Linked DNA regions of Saccharomyces cerevisiae S288C. Changing the gene in region 2 together with the main gene of any one other region gives a genetic interaction. Each region holds a gene or a part of one and is shown on either strand. Other genes may lie near its edges.

Region 1 (6,304 bases), on a different chromosome or scaffold from region 2:
GTTCATCAAGATGTAGTCATAAATAGGATTATTGTCGCCAAGGTGGTACTTGCCGGACAAGACTTCTTCTTTTAGAATTCTCGCATTCTCTTTAGGGCCGTATGAAGCACACTTCGACAACTCGTGTTCTTCTAAACCAAACATAGAAGGTTCTAATTGGAAGGTCTTCAATTTAAGTTCGGACGATGTCGGATCAATATGCCAGACAGTAGTTTTGCCTATAGGTGATACTTCGTCTAACCCAACATGTCCCCAAACTATAAAAGTTTCGCTTCCTGGATATACCAAAGCGGCTGCCTTGGCATATTCAGGCGCAAGTTCCTTTGAGTAAACGCCCAATATTCTCTTGTTTACGTGGCTAACTGGATGTAGAAGTGGTCCCAGTACGTTGAAAACAGTCGGAATTCCAAGAAATTTGCGTATCTTAGAAACGTGGCCCATTCCATGATGAAAAAAAGGAGCAAGTAGAAACATGAACGTATTATCAGGCCAAAGTTTGGGCACTGTCGATGAATTAACCTTGAACATGTCACAGCCTAAAGTTCCAATTAGGTCACCAGCTCCACTATTGGATGTAGAAGCTTTACCACCGTGCTTACAAATTTTTAGGCCCTGAATTCCGGAGGCAACGATAGCAGCAGACGTGGAAACATTAAAAGTATTCTGTCCGTCACCACCAGTACCTACAATATCTAAGATTACTGGTCCATCTTCCGGGTGTAATTCGTCCTTCTTGGGTAAAGGTAGATCAACAAGGTCGGAATGTCTGAGCACAGCCTTTGCAGCTTCCGCAATGTATTCAGCCTTGTGATCAAGTTTAGTAACTCTCAAGGCCGTGAGAAAACTCGAAACTTTGGTATAGATGGAAAGACTCTCATCGCTATTTGTATCACATTTTTGCAAAAGACTTAATATAACCAGCAACGCATCGTGTAGGTCTGTGCTACTCAATTGCGGCGGAGAAGCCAATAATTTCTTGGTGTAAGATAGCAAAGTCGCCTCGGACATGATAAGGGAATACTAAGTTTTCTTGTGATTATTGCAGTTTAAATTCACTTAGTTGTCAGTAGCTGTAATATCAGATGCTTTATTATAAAGTTTTCCAGAAGAATGAATGCAACAGAGTTTATGTTTACTGAATTGTCTGGTCATGAATCATTTTTTAGAGAGTCAATCTGCGTAGGTTTTTTTTTCCTTTTGGCAAAGACGACAAGAAAAATGCAGGTGGGGAAGCGCAGCAATAATATTAGTCATAACTTAATAGTCGGTGTATAGGCAACCACGCGTTACAAAGTAAGCCGATGGCCTATGTCATGTGTCTAAAAAGTTTAATTCAGACACGCAATATATGTAGATTATGTATTGGCTTTCTCTAATAATGGGGAAAAGAAATAAAATTCATGGTTTGCTTTTTATTAAAGAAAAGGAGAAAGTAACGATTTGTTGGATAAGTATACAAAAATTTGAGTGTATCTATTTTATAATGGAAAATTCATCTATTCTAGGGAAGTTAAGTATTTCTCAGCATCCAAAGCGGCCATACAACCAGAGCCAGCAGAAGTAATAGCTTGTCTGTATTTAGAATCCTGAACATCACCAGCAGCGAAAAATCCTGGAACGGAGGTTAATGAGCTGCCTGGGACAGTTTTAATGTAGCCCGCTTCATCAGTGTCGACTTGGCCAGCGACAATCTTTGTTGCTGGAGTGTGGCCAATTGCATAAAATAAACCGCTGACTGGCAAATCGGTTTCTTCATTCTTTTTAGTGTTCTTAATCCTCAAGGCATTCAATAATTTACCATCCCCCTTAGCTTCTAGCGCAACAGTGTTGTAAAGGATTTCAATTTTTTCGTTCTTCTCAGCACGCTTTTGCATAATGGTAGAAGCACGCAAATGGTCTTTTCTGACAAGCATAAACACTTTTGAGCCGTACTTGGTCAAGAACTGAGCTTCTTCACATGCAGAGTCACCACCACCAATGACGGCCAATGGCTTGTTTCTGAAAATGGGGACGGCACCATCACACACGGCACAGGCAGAAATACCTTTTTGCCAGTAGGTTTCCTCGCCCGGCAAATGCATTCTCTTAGCAGAAGCGCCTGTGGCCAAGATTATAGCGTCAGTCGTCACAGGTTCTGCGTCTTCGTTAAATTCGGTCCATAGCTTGAATGGTTTGGAAGACAGATCAACTTTGGAAACTGTTTCCGTGATAATTTCAGTGCCAAACTTCGTGGATTGTTCTCTCATTCTGTCCATCAGTTCGCTACCTGTTAGACCATCTGGGAAACCTGGGAAGTTTTCGATTTCTGTAGTGGTGGTTAGCTGGCCACCGGCAGCAATACCGTTCGCCATCATACCTTCATATAGGATTGGCTTGATTTCTGCCCTGGCCAAATAGATGGCGGCGGTGTGTGCAGCTGGACCTGAACCAATGATAGTAACTTTGTTGTGAACCATTATTGATAATATGATGTTTACTTTCGTACTGTTCGCTATTTGCTGTATAGCACTTGTAGGCAAGTATAACTGAACTACAGAAATTAATCTACAAGCTCTTGAAACCTCGAGCAGTTGGGTCCACTCTTATACGCGTGGGCATTTTTTCCTTTTTCGAGATACTTGCGGGCGATTTTTTTTCTCCATGACTAAGGAGAAGCTAACCCAGCCAAAACCCGCCCCCAAATGGCTAGGCAAAGTGAAAGATTATTAATCCAGAACAGAATGAAACACTTACTGCCGTACTGTATACTGAAGCGTTCACAGTGAATACATAATAACTTTCATTATTAATATTAGTGTGACAAACTATATGTGTTTGTAGCTGTTGCGAATGCAAACAAGACATAGACGGTTTTACGTAAAACTGGCGCTAACTATAGTTGGGTACTTTTACACAGAGTACGAACGTAGTATTCCTATTGGGAAAAAAGGGTCTCGCAAGGACTATCCCAAGAGCAGAGTGCATTGTTTAAATATAAATGGTAGTACTCCGTAGGGAAAACTATGTTTGCGTTTCACCAGACAACAGTGATGTACGTTCTGTCACTAGTTGCGCTGCACTGTCTTCTTCAGGACTGTATAGTTCTCTTTCCAGTTCACGTAGTTGCATATCAGTTGCATAAAGGATATAGTATTGGTAGAAGTATATCAAATCAAACGCAATTGTTCCAGCACTTCCAAATATAAAGGGCAACTCATTCACGATGAATTCCCTCTTGTTCTGATTATCTAAAAATCTACAGCTTGTGAAGATGCTCAAATTATACGTGATATTGCAGAGTAGTGTAGTAGCAAATAGGAAGGGAGATAAGCCGTCTGTAGACTTTCTATTGTAATTCTTGATTAGTTGTGGGATACGTGCGCCTACGTAGAAGGAAGCGCCAATCCAAGATAAAATTGTACCCAGCTGGCTGTTTTTACCATCTCCGGGAGGCCCCACTTGTGATTGGGTGGAGCCTACATTTAGCGGATATGCGCTAGCTGTACTTATAGTATGAGCTATAGCCAAGGCTGCTGTAATGGCAGACCTTCTTCTACTGCTTCTAGGGCTTTCTGCACTGCTACCACCTTGTATCATGTCCTCTTCCTCCCTCAAAAGCTCACCATTTTCAACCAGTTCGGGAAGAAGAGGTTTAGGCTCATGGCCGACAGTCGCCAATTTATTTTCATGCAGCACGCCATAGTAATAATATTGACCACATACAAAAGAATCATTCAATAGAAAATAAATTGCTAAAAGTATCTGAAATAACAATTGCCCTGTTAGCTTTGCCCCTATCAGCGAGGTAATATCCCCACATAACCAAGCCAGCAAAAAATATGGCGATAGCCCATCGACAGATTTATCTCGATAAGTCTCAATTATTTGTGGAAACAATGAAATAACAGAGGTGAAGAAGGATAATGATCCGCACAAATTAGATACAGTAGGCCAGATGCCGTTTGAGCACGACATGAAAAGATTCTTATTTTCACTTTATAATTTTTAGCACCGATAACAACGAACCTTATCGATTGATATCAATAGATACTGGCTTAAGGTAATGAAAAGATTGCTTCTTTATTTGTCTTTGTTGGAGACGAATATTAATGCCTGCAAAAAGTACTTGACGTTTATGTGCACGTTTACGTTTGTTTTTTTTTGATCCCTCCTCAAGCGAAGAGATATACTAAAAGATATACTTAGTGATAACACTGGTACCTATTGTCACTACAAATCACTGAGCGAAATCTTTTTTCTTCGCGAACAATTTCTTCCATGCTGCGAAATTTTGCAGCACGTAAGTGAATGCCGTAGAAGCTAGCAAAAAAAAATGGTGATGAAAAGGTTAATAACAAAACACAATAAGGGCATTAGTTCATTGTTTATTAAAAATATATTATTATATTAATCGAAAGTAATTTCTGTATGTATGCATTTATAAGTTTCAGAGTGAAAATGAACTTAAGAAGAGATAGTCTGGTCACCAAACTTTTAGTACGTGCCACATACACGCTAACGTAATTTTCGGTAGTAGTGCAACCACCACTTTGTGAAAATATTATTGAGGTTTTCCTCTTCGATACTATCCTCCGTATACAGTGGAATACAAAAATGCTTATCATCCAAATCTGATAAATGTTTCAGATTATCATATCCGAAGTGGTAGTTTAACAATACGTTAACTGTTAGTGAAACCAAAATCTTATAATTTACAATAACCTTCTTAGATCTATAGTATTCCCATACTTTGTCTTTGAATATTTCCATTTTTACGGGGTAGTTTGCAAAGTTTTGGCCATTATGAACGATAATTACATCCATTACCCACATAAAAAGTTTATGGTCCATTCTTTGCAATATGTTCCACCATGTATTGCTATTCAAACATCCGCCATTGAATTCATTTTTGAACTCATCTTTTCGTAAAAGATGGGCAACAATTCCTCTGGGATTTAATATTCTTGAATCGTATTTTTCCTTGCAAATTTCACTGAAGCACGTCATCTGTATCAAGTTGACCATTTCCCATGTTTCCTTCAAAGTCCCAAAAGATTGATCAGTTAAAAAATGGTAGAATAGCATCTCATCACCAGTAACCAAACCTTGTTGAGATATAGATTTCAGTTGCAGTAATAGCATCAAGTCAGAAACCACTTGCTTATCTGTTCCATTTTTATAAAAAACCTTTTCCTGTACATCGTGTTCAATAAGCTGTCTTATTTCAAATTCTTTATCTTTGGGAAAATCCATTTTGTTGAGTAGCTGCATTACTTCCTCAAATGATTCAATAAAACATTTTGTTATCAAGCAATTGTCACTTTGTAGAAGTTGACTATATATTTGAAGCCGTACTTTAGATATCAAAGGTGTTTCCCAAATAATTTTCTTTAATTCACTTAATGACGAGTTACGAGTAATGCCTCGGTCCAGTAAATGCTGGAATTTGACCTTATTCTGCTCATTCTTTTTGGCTTTTTCGTCACGTTCTTTATTTTTTTGCAACTCTTCCATTGATGCTAAGTCGATATTTTTGTAGATTTGTTTATCTTGCAATTTCCTCTCTTTGAAATCCTTGGGCGGGAGCCAACTCGGACGGAAATGACTTACGGCCTTTAGTTTGTCCTCTGAAACTAGCATTAGGTCTTCCATTCCCTGACTACTGGCTTCTTTAAATTCCAGTGGTAAACTCTGTACAGATCTTGAACGACCAGAAAGAATACTTTTGGAGATTTTTTCGGAACTATGCAGGTATATTTGGGAGAGATTTTTCATTGTATCCTGGATGTACTGTGAATCAGACACAGGAGATATACCAGGAATGCATGTTGGCGGAAGCTCCTTATAGTCCAGACATGATTCTTTTAAAGTGTTACTTGAATTTGATGTATGTTTTCTAGTACTATGAACCTGATGGAAAGTTTTGTCCACACAGAGAGCCGAAGATGAGTGTTGTTTGCCTTCGCAATTGTTCTCCTGTATTAATATCTCTTCATCCCCCCGCGCTGAATCTAAACTCATTTCTTTTCTATTAAACTTAGATAATGTTAAAAAAGAACTGGTCGATAAAGATGCCATTGGAATGTTCCAAATTAACGAGCCGTCGACATCGCCCTCTTGAAGTTCCAAGTTAACGTCTTGATCTTCATAAAATTTTTCTTTCATTTTTATGGCTTTACGCAAAGATTGGTCATTTTGCTCTTTCCTTAAACGGTAACGTTGAGAAGGAGTAAGTTGGGTTGTTTTATATGGTAATATTACAGAAGTACTATTGGAATGCACATACGGCGTTTTTGTGATCGGCATGAGTTTTGGTTCTTGGATA
Region 2 (9,398 bases):
GTACCTGTGATAATAGGTACTAATTATAATCGTAATGTTTACCTGATATTACTTTCTAGTGTAAATAACTGTGCAGTAATCTTTTGGGTAATTTCTTTTCATATTTAACTAGTGCACATACTCGCATTATGACCATTGTATGCGTTCAATACTAAGGGACAATAAAACAAGCATTATACTATATGTTGTATTGCTTCCAATGATTGAAAAAGCAACAGTTACCGCTACAAAGGGTACTATTTACTCAAATCTATAAAAGAAACCAAGCCATATATTTGAGATAAGCGGCTTGATTAGCTCTACTTTATATTCAATAGCGTGCTGGGTAAAATTCTATTTGTTATTTTATTGGTTTAAACGTTACCCGAACAGAACACTTTTATGTAAATTTTTTTTTATCGACACTTTTTTTCAGAATGGAATAAAAAGAAAAATAGGCGATGAGATAAATTTATAACAGTCGTCAATTCTCAAAAAAGCAGAGTTCAAGATATTGAGTTTAATATCAAACTGCAAATACACTAAGTAAAAAAAGTTGCATACAATGACATCCGTTAGAAAAAGAAAGATGAACAGATCTTCTGTTGGGAAAGCAACCAGGAGAAACAAAGACAAACAAAGAAAGATTAACATCCAGTCTAATCCGATTATTGCAGCAAATTGGGACTATTCACTGACAATGGCACAAAACTATAAGAAATTAGGGCTAAGGGCTAAATTACAAACACCAGCAGGAGGCAAAGAGGCCGATTTAAGTAAAGTAGTTAAAAGAATTCCATTAACGAAGCCTGTGTTGGATGAAGATGAAGATGAAGATGAAGGTGAGGACGAGCAAAATGATTATAATGCGGCTACCGTGGAGCTCGATGAAAATGAGATACCAGAAGGTGGGGCAAGGATACAGCGTGATAAGAATGGTGATGTTGTAAGAGTTGTTTACGGTAAGAAAAAGAACTTTGATGCTGATGAGGATGTTAACGAAATAAAAGCTAGGGATACTACCGAGGAGACCGAAGTGGTTAAGAAATTAGAAGAACTTGCGTCTAGACCAGTTATCAGAAAGGAACGTAGCCAAAGTGAAAGGGAAGAAGAATGGTTGGAAAAATTATATAAGAAACACGGTGATGATTATAAAAAAATGTTTTTCGATAAGAAGCTGAACATCTACCAGCAATCTGAGGGTGACTTGAAAAGAAGGTTATTAAGGTGGAAAAAAAGAAACGGTATTGCATCAAAATAAACCAATGGCAACTACCAATTGATTACCACGTAATATTTATATATGTATCTATATATGTTTTTATGCATCAATATCAAGTGTTTTAGAGAACAGCAAATTATGTTTGATATTTCCATTCCACTATATTATAGAACGTGAGAAGCAAATAGAAAACTGTGAAATAAAGTAGACTTCAAATAAATAAGTATAATATTTTCTCTATTATAGATATAAGAAAATTAAGAAATAGAAAGAAAGCTAATTTGGTTCCACAAAGGCTCTATAGGTAGTAAACGCCTCATCTTCAGCTTCCAAATCAACAGGCAAATGTGGAGCGATGAAAAAGACAAAACCGGGTTCAGCTTTCAATTTTTGGCCATCTGCTTTAATGTAACCATTACCTTTTGTAGTGATTAAGATACTTGGACCATCAACACCTTCAAAATGCCTTTGACCAAGTTTCTCATCAAAAGTAGTCTCCAATACAGCAAATTCTTCGATTGGAGGGTTATATAAAACTGACTTACCGTTACCAGAGGACCTGTCGAACTTTAAAGGCTGCATTTTTTGCTTTTCCACAGGATCATATGTATAGGTTAACATGGAGACCAAGTTTTTAACATCCTTGAATTTTGGAGTGAAGCCTGCTCTAACTACGTTGTCAGAAGCAGCCATACATTCCATAATATCACCGCTTATATAGGCGTGAGGATCCTTAGCTCTTAAAAAGATGGCTTCACCAGCATTCAATCTGCAGTGATTCAACAATAAACATCCACAAAACAAACCCACGTCATCAGGGAACTGTTTATTCAGTCTTTGAATTAATTCTGGTAAATCAGGTTTGTTAAAGTCTGATGGAGAATTCTTTGATCTTTCGACCAAGGAGCGAGCTTGAATCTTGATTTTGTCATCCGAAGCGTTCATGACCCTGCTGAAAACAGCTTGCAATAGCTTTTTGTTTTGCTCATCTTCTGGGGAACCTTTCTGAGCAGAAGGTTGAATGTTCTCAATAAAATTCCTGGAAGTTTCTTCACCAACAATGTTGCGTAATTCAGGAATACGTTTCAATTCATCTGCAATCTCTTGCAAAGGTTTGAACCCGCAGAAACCTTCAAAGTCAGTCACAGCGATGGCCATTTCAGGTTTGTGATTATCATCAGGATAGTTCTTAGGATCTTGAGCGTGCAATATTTTACCCAAGGCTTTGTCGGGATGTGCTTGAATAGACAAGACTTTTTCAATGGACAAAACTTTGAAAAGGAAGGGCAATTCATTTGTGGCGTGGAACTTATCAATAATGTCCTTACCTAACATGGCAGAGGGGTTCTTGGAGATGATATCTCTCAGGGATTCCTTAGACTCATGGTTGTAGGAAGGCATCTTGCTGTGGGTACCCATCCATAACTCTGCATATGGTTTATCTTGTTCAATTTGAACAGAGGGGTCAGAATGGGCAGCAAATTGAGCGACAGCTGAAGAAGAGCCGATTTTACCCCAGTCGTATTGTTGGTAGCCTACATAGAGTCGTACGCGTTAGTTAGTGTACCAAAAAAAAAAAAAAAAAATACTCAAAGTATTCAAAATATTTGACGAAAAATGGCACATACCTGCATCTAACCTGAACAGCTTGTTGGACATGTTTTAAAATTTTCTGGTCTGATGTTCTTTACGTGTTTAGTGTTGAATGATTACAAGAAACAAACATTTTATACAGAAATATACTAAGATTGCGACGTGTATATTTAAATACGTAAATCGCGGCGAAAAAGGACACGGACGCGACAAAAAATTGCTACAATAACCAAGCAGCACGAAATGGATAGTGCACCACGAGACTTGGCATGATCAAAGTGCAAAAGAAAGCAGAATAACAAATTACTCCCGCAAAGTACTAGCTATATCAGGGAACGACTTTATTGGCATCTTGTTGTAGCAAGGTTTTCATGATTCTCATCCTTGCGCTTGTCGCGCGGCACGATGCCAGTGCGGAGTTTCCGCGATATGATGTAACTGCAGCTGTTGGTGGCGAACTTTGCATAAGATCGACCTCCTACTGATGAGAAAGATAGGATGGATTATATAGAAGAGCACAAGCAACGATGAATGGGTTGGTATTAGGCGCTACAGGTTTATGCGGAGGCGGGTTTCTGAGGCACGCACAGGAGGCACCCCAGTTCTCTAAGGTATACGCGATCTTGAGAAGGGAATTGCCCTTTCCGGCCACTGATAAAGTTGTGGCCATAGTAGAAAGGGATAATTCAAAGTGGTCACAATTGATCACCAATGAAATGAATCCGCAGGTGCTATTCACCGCACTGGCAACGACAAGGGCAGCTGCAGGCGGTTTGGACAAGCAATACAAGATCGATCATGATTTAAACTTACAATTGGCCCAGGCTGCCAAGGAAAAAGGATGTGAAACGATCGTTCTCGTTTCTTCCGCTGGTGCTCATCCGGACTCCAGGTTCGGCTACATGAAGATGAAGGGCGAGATTGAACGCGATGTTATCGCTCTTGATTTTAAGCACATTATAATTTTGCGCCCAGGCCCTCTCCTTGGTGAACGGACAAATTCTAAACAAAGCGGATTTGGCGGCAATCTGACTGCTGCTTTGGGCACTCGCGTGTACCGTTCTAGATTCCAGAGGTTGCTAGGCTATCCAGTTTATGGCGATGAGGTAGGAAAAGTTGGTGTTCATTTGGCGTTGAATACTTCTGGGAAAGACAAGGTTCAGTTTGTCTCCAGCAAGGACATTCTTGACATCTCAGCTTCTCTGGAGAAGATTGCTACCTAAATCAACCAACGGCTTCTTCTCGCAGCTACAGTTGTATTTTACTGTGACGTACTTTTGCGCGCGTACGGGTTCAATGAATTACGGATTTTCAACAACTTCACACAATCATAGCTTTTTTTACTTTTTCGCCTCATTATTTTCTTTAAAGAAACGATGATAAACAGAGATTTATCGTCATGTTATTTCGTTCGTATATATCGTATTTGCGTTTTAGCTGTATAAAGTAAAATACTATATCTAACGTGGCTTTTTTTATTTCCCCGTCTGCCCTCTTATGCTCATAGAAAACACTAATGATCGGTTTGGTATCGTCATAGATGCAGGGTCTTCGGGTTCGAGAATCCATGTGTTTAAGTGGCAGGACACGGAATCGCTTCTTCATGCAACAAACCAGGACTCACAGTCCATATTACAATCAGTACCTCATATTCATCAAGAAAAAGACTGGACTTTTAAGCTGAATCCAGGCTTGTCGAGTTTTGAAAAAAAACCTCAAGATGCGTACAAATCTCACATCAAGCCGTTACTAGATTTTGCTAAGAATATTATCCCTGAATCACATTGGTCGAGTTGTCCCGTTTTTATTCAAGCAACCGCGGGCATGCGCCTTTTACCTCAAGACATACAATCTTCCATTTTGGATGGTTTGTGTCAGGGGCTCAAACACCCTGCAGAATTTTTGGTTGAGGATTGCTCAGCACAAATTCAAGTCATTGATGGTGAAACCGAAGGTTTATATGGCTGGCTTGGCTTAAACTATCTATATGGACACTTTAATGACTATAATCCAGAGGTCTCTGACCATTTTACATTTGGGTTTATGGACATGGGCGGTGCCTCTACTCAGATTGCGTTTGCACCGCATGATTCAGGAGAAATAGCTAGACATAGAGATGACATCGCCACCATCTTCTTGAGGAGTGTTAACGGAGATTTGCAGAAATGGGACGTTTTTGTTAGTACGTGGTTAGGGTTTGGTGCCAATCAGGCTAGAAGAAGGTACTTGGCTCAGTTGATCAATACCCTTCCAGAAAACACAAATGATTACGAAAATGATGACTTCTCTACAAGGAACTTGAATGATCCATGTATGCCGCGAGGAAGCAGCACGGATTTTGAATTTAAAGATACCATATTTCACATCGCGGGTTCTGGGAATTACGAACAATGTACAAAATCTATTTATCCGTTACTTTTAAAGAACATGCCTTGTGATGACGAGCCGTGCTTGTTTAATGGTGTTCATGCTCCTCGAATAGACTTTGCCAATGACAAATTTATAGGTACTTCTGAGTACTGGTACACTGCCAACGACGTATTCAAACTTGGGGGCGAATACAACTTTGACAAATTTAGCAAAAGCCTAAGGGAGTTTTGCAATTCCAATTGGACGCAAATATTAGCGAACAGTGATAAAGGCGTGTATAATTCTATTCCGGAGAATTTTTTGAAAGATGCATGCTTTAAGGGCAATTGGGTCCTTAATATACTTCATGAAGGGTTTGATATGCCTCGAATAGATGTCGACGCAGAAAATGTCAATGACAGGCCCTTATTTCAAAGTGTGGAAAAAGTCGAAGAACGAGAGTTATCGTGGACACTAGGCAGAATTTTACTTTATGCCTCAGGTAGCATATTGGCAGGTAATGATGACTTCATGGTGGGTATTGCGCCCAGTGAAAGAAGAACTAAGCTCACTGGTAAGAAATTCATACCTGGCAAGTTACTGGAGTCTGATCAACTACGCAAGCAAAGTTCCAGCCTTTCTAATAAAGGATTTTTGATGTGGTTCGCAATTATTTGTTGCATATTTTACTTGATCTTTCATAGGTCACACATAATCAGAAGACGTTTTTCCGGTCTGTACAACATTACCAAGGACTTTAAGACAGGCATAAGGAGAAGGTTGAAATTTCTAAGGAGATCAGATCCATTTTCCAGATTGGAGGAAGGTGAACTTGGAACAGACGTAGATGGCTTCAAAGATGTGTACAGGATGAAGAGTAGCAGTATGTTTGATCTTGGTAAGAGTTCAGCCACAATGCAAAGGGAGCACGAACCACAAAGGACAGCAAGTCAGTCCGCTAATCTCGCTCCGTCAAACTTACGACCTGCGTTTTCTATGGCTGATTTTTCCAAATTTAAGGACAGTAGGCTATATGATTGAATGTGGTGGTGTATGTGCCATAAATAGAAGCGCATATACTTCTCACATAAATATATGTATATATCTAGTGAGGTGCCATAGTATTGCATTAACAGTGATTCACGTCACTCTAAACGTCGCTTCTGTTTTTTTTTTGAAATTTTTTTCTCACAGCTGCTGAAAATTTTCGAGCGAGGCGATGAGATGAGCTAATTATATCAAGAGGGAATTGTACTAGTAATACTTTGGTACACACAAGAACAAGCATATAGGTATACAGTCACGACTATAATATCATAAAATGAGAGTCAGAAAGCGCCAATCTAGAAGAACATCTACCAAGTTGAAGGAAGGTATTAAGAAGAAGGCTTCTGCCCATAGAAAAAAGGAAAAGAAGATGGCTAAGAAGGACGTTACTTGGAGATCAAGGTCTAAGAAAGACCCTGGTATTCCTTCTAACTTTCCTTATAAGGCTAAGATCTTAGAAGAAATAGAAGCCAAAAAAATGAAGGACTTAGAGGAAAGAGAGCTTGCCAAACAACAACGATTGGAGGCTAGGAAAGCTGCCAAGGAACAAGGCGTTGATGCAATGGATGAAGACATGATAGAAGACGATGAAAATGGATTAGCAGCTTTGGTTGAGTCTGCTCAGCAAGCAGCTGCTGAATATGAGGGCACACCCTCTAATGATGCAGATGTTCGTGATGATGAATTGGACGTCATTGATTATAACATTGATTTCTACGGTGAAGATGTAGAAGGCGAGTCAGAACTTGAAAAATCTAGGAAAGCTTATGACAAGATTTTCAAATCCGTTATTGATGCTTCTGATGTCATCCTATATGTTTTGGATGCCAGAGATCCAGAGAGTACAAGATCAAGAAAGGTGGAAGAAGCCGTCTTACAAAGTCAGGGTAAAAGGCTGATTTTAATACTGAACAAAGTTGATTTAATTCCCCCACATGTATTGGAACAATGGTTAAATTACTTAAAGTCTAGTTTTCCTACAATCCCATTAAGAGCTTCTTCTGGTGCAGTCAACGGAACTTCTTTCAACAGAAAGCTAAGCCAAACCACTACTGCAAGTGCACTGCTAGAGTCGCTGAAAACTTACTCTAATAACAGCAATTTGAAGAGATCTATTGTAGTGGGTGTTATCGGTTATCCAAATGTTGGTAAATCATCTGTTATCAACGCTCTTTTGGCGCGCCGTGGAGGTCAATCAAAGGCTTGCCCAGTCGGTAATGAAGCAGGTGTTACTACCTCTCTGAGAGAGATCAAAATCGACAACAAGTTGAAGATTCTAGATTCTCCTGGTATATGTTTCCCAAGCGAAAATAAGAAAAGATCGAAAGTTGAACATGAAGCTGAATTAGCTCTTCTAAATGCTCTACCGGCAAAACACATTGTTGATCCGTATCCAGCTGTCTTAATGTTGGTAAAGAGACTAGCTAAATCAGATGAAATGACAGAGAGCTTTAAAAAGCTGTATGAAATTCCTCCTATTCCTGCTAATGATGCAGATACGTTTACAAAACATTTCTTAATTCACGTCGCTCGTAAAAGAGGTAGATTAGGGAAAGGCGGTATTCCAAATCTTGCCAGTGCTGGTCTTTCGGTACTTAATGACTGGAGGGATGGTAAAATTCTTGGTTGGGTTTTACCAAATACATCGGCAGCTGCATCTCAACAAGATAAACAAAATCTAAGTACTATAAACACTGGCACTAAACAAGCTCCAATTGCAGCAAATGAATCCACCATTGTATCCGAGTGGTCCAAAGAATTTGATTTGGATGGATTATTTAGCTCTCTTGACAAGGCCATAGATGCTAGCAAAGATCAAGATACAATGATGGAATAAATAAGTCATATGTAAGGCTATTTTTATGTAAGGGGTGTTTCTTATTTTTTCTTTATCATCAAATAACATTACTGTAAATTATAGGTGTGCTTTTAAACTCATTACTATACATCTTATTTTTTTTAGTTTTACTGCCTTTTTGCTCTTTGGACAAAGAAATCATTAAAAAGTTCCAACTTTTATTATGTTTCATATATAAGATATACAAAATATAAAATGCAAAACGAATTTCAGAGATAGCATGACTTATGAAATTGGGGACAGACTCAAGATTGGTGGATATTTTTGCACCATCAAATTCATAGGTGTTATTAAGCCGTGGCCTTCGGTAAAAGCTTATGGGGTGGAATGGGACGATCACAGCCGGGGAAAACATTCTGGAACAATAGATGACATACACTATTTTGACGTTCAAATTCCTAATTCAGGATCATTTTTGAAGGAGTCTAAGATTAAATCTCCAGGTGTACGCAGAATTACGTTTTACGAAGCATTGTCAGAAAAGTATGGAGGCTCGAGTAATAACATTAATGACCTATCTATAGGTAACAAAAGGGTTGAGGGTTTGGGATTCGATGAACTAAATGCGAGAAATAAGAATTATAAGAAGTTAAGAAAAATAGCTTTGCGAGATTCCGATGTCGCTATATTGTTTCAAAATCAAGATGAGTTAAACCGTGTAATACAAAATTGTGTGAACGTCAAGGACCTTGATTTATCGCTTAATCTATTCACGAATATCAACTCTTTATGTGAGTTCATAGAACCTTTGAAGAACTTGGAGAGCCTTAATATATCTCAAAATAAACTTTTAAGCGGTTGGGACAACTTGAAAGAATATGACCTATCACACATCAAAACTTTACGTCTGTCTTCCTGTGGTTTAAGTTATAAACATATTGGTAAGCTGCTCAAAAGCTTCAGGACACTGAAAATGTTGGATTTAAGCTATAACAACTTGACCAGTGCGGGAATCCAAAATTTTGAGAATGAAATACCGTGTACTTTGGAGGAACTGAATATTAGCGGAAATAATCTTATATCGTTTCCATTGTTTCCAAAAAATTTGACATTGAAAGGTTTAAATGTCTCCAATAATCAAATTTCTAGAGCACCAAGTATTGCTATTTATTCTGTTGAATCCTTGGATATAACAGATAACAAATTTAAGGAAAGAAGTTTGATAGATGATTTGAATAAGACATTTCCCTCTTTGAAAAATATCCATCTGAGTGGCAACGAATTCAACTACAACGGAAATTATATTAACGTCGAAGAACAGGCTACTTTTTATGAAGTACTGGCTAGGTTTGATCGTGTGATGGTATTGAATGGATCAATATGTGATGTAAAAACAAGAAGAGAGGCTGA
Region 3 (6,767 bases), on a different chromosome or scaffold from region 2:
GCAAAAATGACGAAGAGAACCTTAATGCCTCTATAGCAACACAGGATATGAAAGAGATAGCTTCAAGTAACGACGATAGCACAAGTGCAGACTTTGAAGGTTTGGAATCTACCGGGGTGTTTATTTGGAAAAATGTTTCTTTCACAATTCCTCATTCTAGCGGACAACGTAAACTTCTGGACAGCGTAAGCGGTTACTGTGTTCCTGGTACTTTGACAGCATTAATAGGTGAGTCCGGCGCTGGTAAGACCACATTATTAAACACTTTGGCTCAAAGGAACGTGGGAACGATTACTGGTGATATGTTAGTTGATGGTCTCCCAATGGACGCTAGTTTCAAAAGGCGTACCGGTTATGTTCAACAGCAAGATCTTCATGTTGCTGAACTTACTGTCAAAGAATCGCTACAATTTAGTGCTCGTATGCGTCGGCCACAGTCTATTCCTGACGCTGAAAAGATGGAATATGTTGAAAAAATTATATCTATTCTTGAAATGCAGGAGTTCTCAGAAGCTCTTGTCGGCGAAATTGGTTACGGCTTGAATGTTGAACAGAGAAAGAAACTATCAATTGGCGTTGAGCTAGTTGGCAAGCCGGATCTGTTATTGTTTTTGGACGAACCGACCTCTGGCTTGGATTCCCAATCCGCGTGGGCCGTCGTCAAAATGTTAAAAAGATTAGCTCTAGCAGGTCAATCAATTTTATGTACTATTCATCAACCATCAGCTACTCTTTTTGAACAGTTTGACAGATTATTGCTTTTGGGAAAAGGCGGTCAAACAATTTATTTTGGTGAAATAGGTAAAAATTCAAGTTCTGTCATTAAGTATTTCGAAAAGAACGGAGCCAGGAAATGTCAACAAAATGAAAATCCGGCAGAGTATATTTTAGAAGCCATAGGAGCTGGGGCCACCGCTTCTGTTCAACAGAACTGGCCTGATATATGGCAAAAATCTCACGAGTATGCAAACATTAACGAAAAAATAAATGACATGATTAAGGACTTATCTTCTACAACTTTGCATAAAACAGCTACAAGGGCCTCTAAGTATGCAACATCGTATTCCTACCAATTCCATCATGTGCTGAAAAGATCCAGTTTAACATTTTGGAGAAACTTGAACTACATCATGGCCAAAATGATGTTATTGATGATCAGTGGCTTGTTCATTGGTTTTACCTTTTTCCATGTGGGTGTAAATGCTATTGGATTACAAAATAGCTTATTTGCCTGTTTCATGGCTATCGTTATATCAGCTCCTGCAACAAACCAAATACAGGAGCGTGCTACCGTTGCTAAGGAGCTATATGAAGTTCGTGAGTCCAAATCTAATATGTTTCATTGGTCTTTACTTTTGATTACCCATTATTTAAATGAATTGCCTTACCATTTATTGTTTTCAACAATTTTTTTCGTTTCATCATATTTCCCTCTGGGTGTCTTTACCGAAGCCTCTAGGTCAAGTGTTTTTTATCTGAACTATGCCATACTTTTTCAACTTTACTATATTGGTCTTGCTTTAATGATTCTGTACATGTCTCCAAATCTACAATCTGCCAATGTTATTGTAGGTTTTATACTTTCGTTTTTGCTCTCTTTCTGCGGTGCTGTCCAACCTGCCTCTTTAATGCCTGGTTTCTGGACATTCATGTGGAAACTATCCCCTTACACGTATTTTTTGCAAAATTTAGTTGGATTATTGATGCATGACAAACCCGTAAGATGTTCAAAGAAAGAGTTGTCTCTTTTCAACCCCCCGGTAGGCCAAACATGTGGTGAATTTACCAAACCGTTTTTTGAATTTGGGACTGGGTATATTGCAAATCCAGATGCAACAGCAGATTGCGCCTATTGTCAGTACAAAGTAGGTGATGAATACTTGGCGCGCATAAATGCTAGCTTTAGTTACTTATGGAGAAACTTCGGTTTCATTTAGGCTTATATCCTTTTCAACATTGCCGGTATGATTGTGGTTTATTACGTTGTTCAAGTTAAGCATTTTTCCCCTATGAAAATTGGCTTCGTAAAAAGAATAACAAGTAAATTTAAGAGAAAATGAAGAAAAAAATTGCAGGTATACTATGGGTGCAGGTGAGGCGGTTTTTTAACCGATTTAGCACACGATACTGTGAATTTTGGGTTATATGATGATGTGAATATTGCAGAAATGTAATGTTATATTATTCAAAGAAATAGGGTAACTTCTATTTATGCAAACATTGGTAATCAAGGCTATAAACACATAATCCCAAATAAGTATTTTGGTACACAGTTGATGTTTCTTTATGAATACGACTCATTAGTTCACTGTCAAATTGCCAACGTTCAGAGGGACCTACTTACAGAGCGTATGTTTTATATTTACGACGAACGCGATCTAATTATTATCCGCTGGTTAAACAGCGTAATAATGTTCATAGGGGCCTTGCATGACATTTGAATTTGAACATTACTAGAGTTCGTGAAATTTTGTCAATGAAAAAATAATGTGACAAACGTCTGCAAATAACCTGAAGAATTTTATCCGGGATAACGACAAAGCGTTAAATATAGAAACATAGTGAATGTACTGCTAGGAAAAAAATAGGCATAATTTAATCTTTATTCATATAAATGTTTTTACCAGAACTCTCTTGGTAGATAGTTTTGATATACGGTTTCCTGCTCAATTTTAGTGAGGCTGGGACGTAAAGTATTTTTTTCAAATAAACCATTTCTTGTTTCTACCTTTTTAGTACGGATTTTTTTTAGTAAGTTCTGTATTCTTTTTTAAGAGTAAAAAATATTCAGACCCCAAACTCACAAAAAGCCTACAGAGTCCGCCTGTTACGCTCAATTTAGTACTACCACTTGTGATAATATTTATTTTGGGACAGGTCCAAAAACTTTTAGGTTTAAACGTACAAACGTTGAGTTTAATCTAGATCATATATCATTATAAAGGTTTTATCTACAAGCAAGTGAAGAAACGTAACAAACGTAAAAAGCTTCAGCCTCACCTAAATATCGAATTTGTACTGAGTCTTTGAAGTGTATACCTCGCCGCGCTTCAGAAGAACACAACCTCTCCACTCATCACGGTTGATAGCATCAACGTATCTACCTTGCTGAACGGCAAATCCAGACCTTGGCACAAATTTGCCACATAAATTATCACCGGTGTACAAATGAACGGTTGGTTCTGTCGTCGAAACCTCAAATTTGATGTGAGATTCGGGATGATAGGCCTTAAAAACAGGAACCAATTTGTTGACACTCACAGAATCTGTAGTCTTCAAATCCTTGTTAGCGTCAATAATGAAAGTGCAATCAAAGACCGGAGTATCTTCATGCAAAACGGTGGGCTTAGTTGAATCAAAAGTAGCAATGTTCCTTTCAATGATCTTACCAGTTGGAAGCAATGCCCCCTCTGTAACTTCAAGCGATTTGTTCGAGCAGACCTTAACTTCTGTACCACGAATGGACTTCTCACTCTTGACTTTGTTCAAGTTAAAATACGAGTGGTTGGTCATATTAATTGGAGTAGCATCACCACGAACTAACTGTGCTTGGTATTCCATGTCTAAAGTCATTTCTGCAACATTCAAAGTGTACTTCACTGTGACTTCCAAGTCACCTGGAAACTCGTTAGGGTTGGGCTGTGTGTGATCATCCAACAATTTAAATTCAACAACGTAAACGCCCTTGGAAGGATTCTCAACAGGGGACGCCTTGTACTGCTTAAGATTTAAGGAACTGATACTGCTGTGATTTGTGTTACCACAATTGTTAACAGTTAACTTGTGAGGACCATCATCCAGGCTGAAAACACCCTTGGCGATACGGTTGGCATAACGACCAACTGTAGCGCCCATCATGTTACCATCTGTTAAATAGTCTTGTACGTTTGAATAACCTTGAACGACTGATTGGCCGTTTACCTTCAGGTCTACCAAAGTTGCACCAAGTGGCGCAATGGTAGCTTGGAACTTTTTCTCATCACCAATTGTAATGACACCATACTTATTATCACCGTTACTATTTGACATTTCGCTGTTTGTTATCTGTTTTGATTTTTTTTTTCACTGCTTATCATACAAACTGATCAATTGAGCTATCAAACTTCAACTTATCTCTGTATTTATATGCTGAAAGTATAGAGTGTACATAAAAATGTATCACATGTCTATTACATATTACGACACCCCCACAATATTTTAACTGATCTTAATAACACGGGGTAGGAAGTTTATTTCATCATACCACTCAATGAGCTAAGCTGCCAAAGGCTCCTGTTCACTTCCTTGTGGTTCGTAGGCTATTCAGTGGCAACGTAATAAACAAGAAAAGAAAAAATTTCAACACCTTTATTCTAAATGTTGTCAGAAGTAATTATAGTGGGGGTATTGCAGATGTAAATGAAATACGACGTACTGTGGGGGGCTTTTCTTTTTCAAGAATCCTAAACTATTCCAATGGGATTGCGTGATTATGTTTCGTTAGAGTTTTTTTCTATATCTCCGTTCTTATTTCTTAAGTCCGCCCCTTGCTGTAACCAGCCCGGCTATTATTTGACGAATTTTTCACATCTTCATTCCTTGCCGAGAAAGAAGCTTTTGCCTCCCTGGGGTTATTATAAAATATATCTGACGTCACTGGTTTGCAGCCAAAAAGTTTAATTATTTTAACTTCAAGGGTTCGTTTCGGAGTAAATAGTCAATGCACAAAATAGGAAGGTGGAGGTGGGGTATGCATTTTTGTGCATAGAGTGGCGGGGTATTAAGAATAATGCACATATAGGCACATAGGCACAAATGCGTGGGATGACTTGACTGTGCAAAGACCGTTAGCAACCTAGAATGTGGAATAGTATCCCAAATGATGACGTAAACGTTCGAGGATAATATTAGATAATATAATATTAGTATCCTCGTCTAAAAACAGGCAAAATAGCACGGAATCTATTCAAAAGAAGGCGGCAAGCAGTATCAATTGAGATAAGTGTATACGAACGGTGAAACCTCCTTGGCACAGAATTTTATCGTTCAAGTGGTAGGATAGCATTGCTGCCATAACACCCTCCTTAATCACAGGATAATATGGTGAACGAGATATATAAAGCGATAAGTTTAGGTGTGATATTTTTCTTTCGTTGTGCAAGTGTTGTGTAAATTCTTTCTCATTTGATAAATCAAAAAAAAAAAAAAAAAAAAGAAAAGAAAAGAAAAATTAATAAAATGCAATCATCCACTGAAAGTGATAGAGATATTCAGGATGGTCCTGATGCTGATATTCACGTCGCACCACCCGTGGAAAAAGAGTGGTCAGATGGATTTGATGACAACGAAGTCATAAACGGGGATAACGTTGAGCCACCAAAAAGAGGGCTCATAGGTTATCTTGTCATTTACTTATTGTGTTATCCAATATCCTTCGGGGGTTTCCTGCCTGGTTGGGATAGTGGTATCACAGCAGGTTTCATTAACATGGACAACTTTAAAATGAACTTCGGTTCTTACAAGCATAGCACTGGTGAATATTATTTGAGCAACGTGCGTATGGGTCTTCTTGTGGCTATGTTCAGTATTGGATGTGCCATAGGTGGTCTTATTTTTGCCCGTCTTGCTGATACTTTAGGTAGAAGGCTGGCAATTGTAATCGTGGTGTTGGTATATATGGTTGGTGCAATTATTCAGATCAGTTCGAATCACAAATGGTACCAATACTTCGTTGGTAAGATTATCTATGGTCTTGGTGCTGGTGGCTGTTCGGTGTTGTGTCCAATGCTTTTGTCTGAAATAGCTCCTACAGATTTGAGAGGTGGACTTGTCTCATTGTACCAACTTAACATGACCTTCGGTATTTTCTTGGGTTATTGTAGCGTTTATGGTACGAGAAAATACGATAACACTGCACAATGGAGAGTCCCACTTGGGCTTTGCTTTTTATGGACTTTGATTATCATCATTGGTATGTTATTGGTTCCAGAGTCCCCAAGATATCTTATTGAATGTGAGAGACACGAAGAGGCCCGTGCTTCCATTGCCAAAATCAACAAGGTTTCACCAGAGGATCCATGGGTACTCAAACAGGCTGATGAAATCAACGCCGGTGTCCTTGCCCAAAGAGAACTAGGAGAAGCTTCATGGAAAGAACTTTTCTCCGTCAAAACTAAAGTCCTTCAACGTTTGATCACAGGTATTCTTGTGCAAACCTTTTTGCAACTTACTGGTGAAAACTACTTTTTCTTCTACGGAACTACCATTTTCAAATCAGTCGGTCTTACTGATGGGTTTGAGACGTCGATCGTTCTAGGTACAGTGAACTTCTTTTCCACTATTATTGCTGTTATGGTCGTAGACAAAATTGGCCGTCGTAAATGTCTTTTATTTGGTGCAGCTGGGATGATGGCTTGTATGGTCATATTTGCAAGTATCGGGGTGAAATGTCTTTACCCTCATGGCCAGGATGGTCCATCCTCAAAAGGTGCAGGTAATGCCATGATTGTGTTCACTTGCTTCTATATATTTTGCTTTGCAACGACATGGGCTCCTGTTGCTTATATTGTGGTTGCCGAGTCGTTCCCTTCGAAGGTCAAATCTAGGGCCATGTCGATTTCGACTGCATGCAACTGGTTGTGGCAATTTTTGATCGGGTTTTTCACACCATTCATTACTGGGTCTATCCACTTCTATTATGGTTATGTGTTCGTAGGTTGTTTGGTTGCAATGTTTCTGTACGTTTTCTTCTTTTTACCAGAAACGATTGGTCTATCTTTGGAGGAAAT

What was found.
Region 1: mutations in YND1 (region 2) and YPQ2 together harm fitness more than expected from each alone (negative genetic interaction), as found in Saccharomyces cerevisiae (2 studies listed by BioGRID).
Region 3: mutations in YND1 (region 2) and YNR071C together harm fitness more than expected from each alone (negative genetic interaction), as found in Saccharomyces cerevisiae (2 studies listed by BioGRID).

What each region holds. Positions count from the first base shown.
Region 1 is NC_001136.10:1,179,451-1,185,754, reverse strand, and holds YPQ2 (Ypq2p), read right to left. Parts: upstream 3,955-6,304; coding exon 3,001-3,954; downstream 1-3,000. Other genes in the region: TRP4 (anthranilate phosphoribosyltransferase), read right to left, coding at 1-1,008; thioredoxin-disulfide reductase TRR1, read right to left, coding at 1,497-2,456; SBE2 (Sbe2p), read right to left, coding at 4,495-6,304. UniProt on the Saccharomyces cerevisiae protein: Amino acid transporter that moves arginine across the vacuolar membrane. Active during nitrogen starvation when it exports stored vacuolar arginine to the cytosol, for use as a nitrogen source.
Region 2 is NC_001137.3:156,259-165,656, forward strand, and holds YND1 (apyrase), read left to right. Parts: upstream 1-4,291; coding exon 4,292-6,184; downstream 6,185-9,398. Other genes in the region: NOP16 (Nop16p), read left to right, coding at 545-1,240; mannose-6-phosphate isomerase PMI40, read right to left, coding at 1,478-2,736, 2,830-2,860; FMP52 (Fmp52p), read left to right, coding at 3,322-4,017; RNA-binding GTPase NUG1, read left to right, coding at 6,465-8,027; PAC2 (Pac2p), read left to right, coding at 8,269-9,398. UniProt on the Saccharomyces cerevisiae protein: Catalyzes the hydrolysis of phosphoanhydride bonds of nucleoside tri- and di-phosphates. Has equal high activity toward ADP/ATP, GDP/GTP, and UDP/UTP and approximately 50% less toward CDP/CTP and thiamine pyrophosphate. Has no activity toward GMP.
Region 3 is NC_001146.8:767,440-774,206, forward strand, and holds YNR071C (aldose 1-epimerase superfamily protein), read right to left. Parts: upstream 4,030-6,767; coding exon 3,001-4,029; downstream 1-3,000. Other genes in the region: ATP-binding cassette multidrug transporter PDR18, read left to right, coding at 1-1,937; hexose transporter HXT17, read left to right, coding at 5,218-6,767.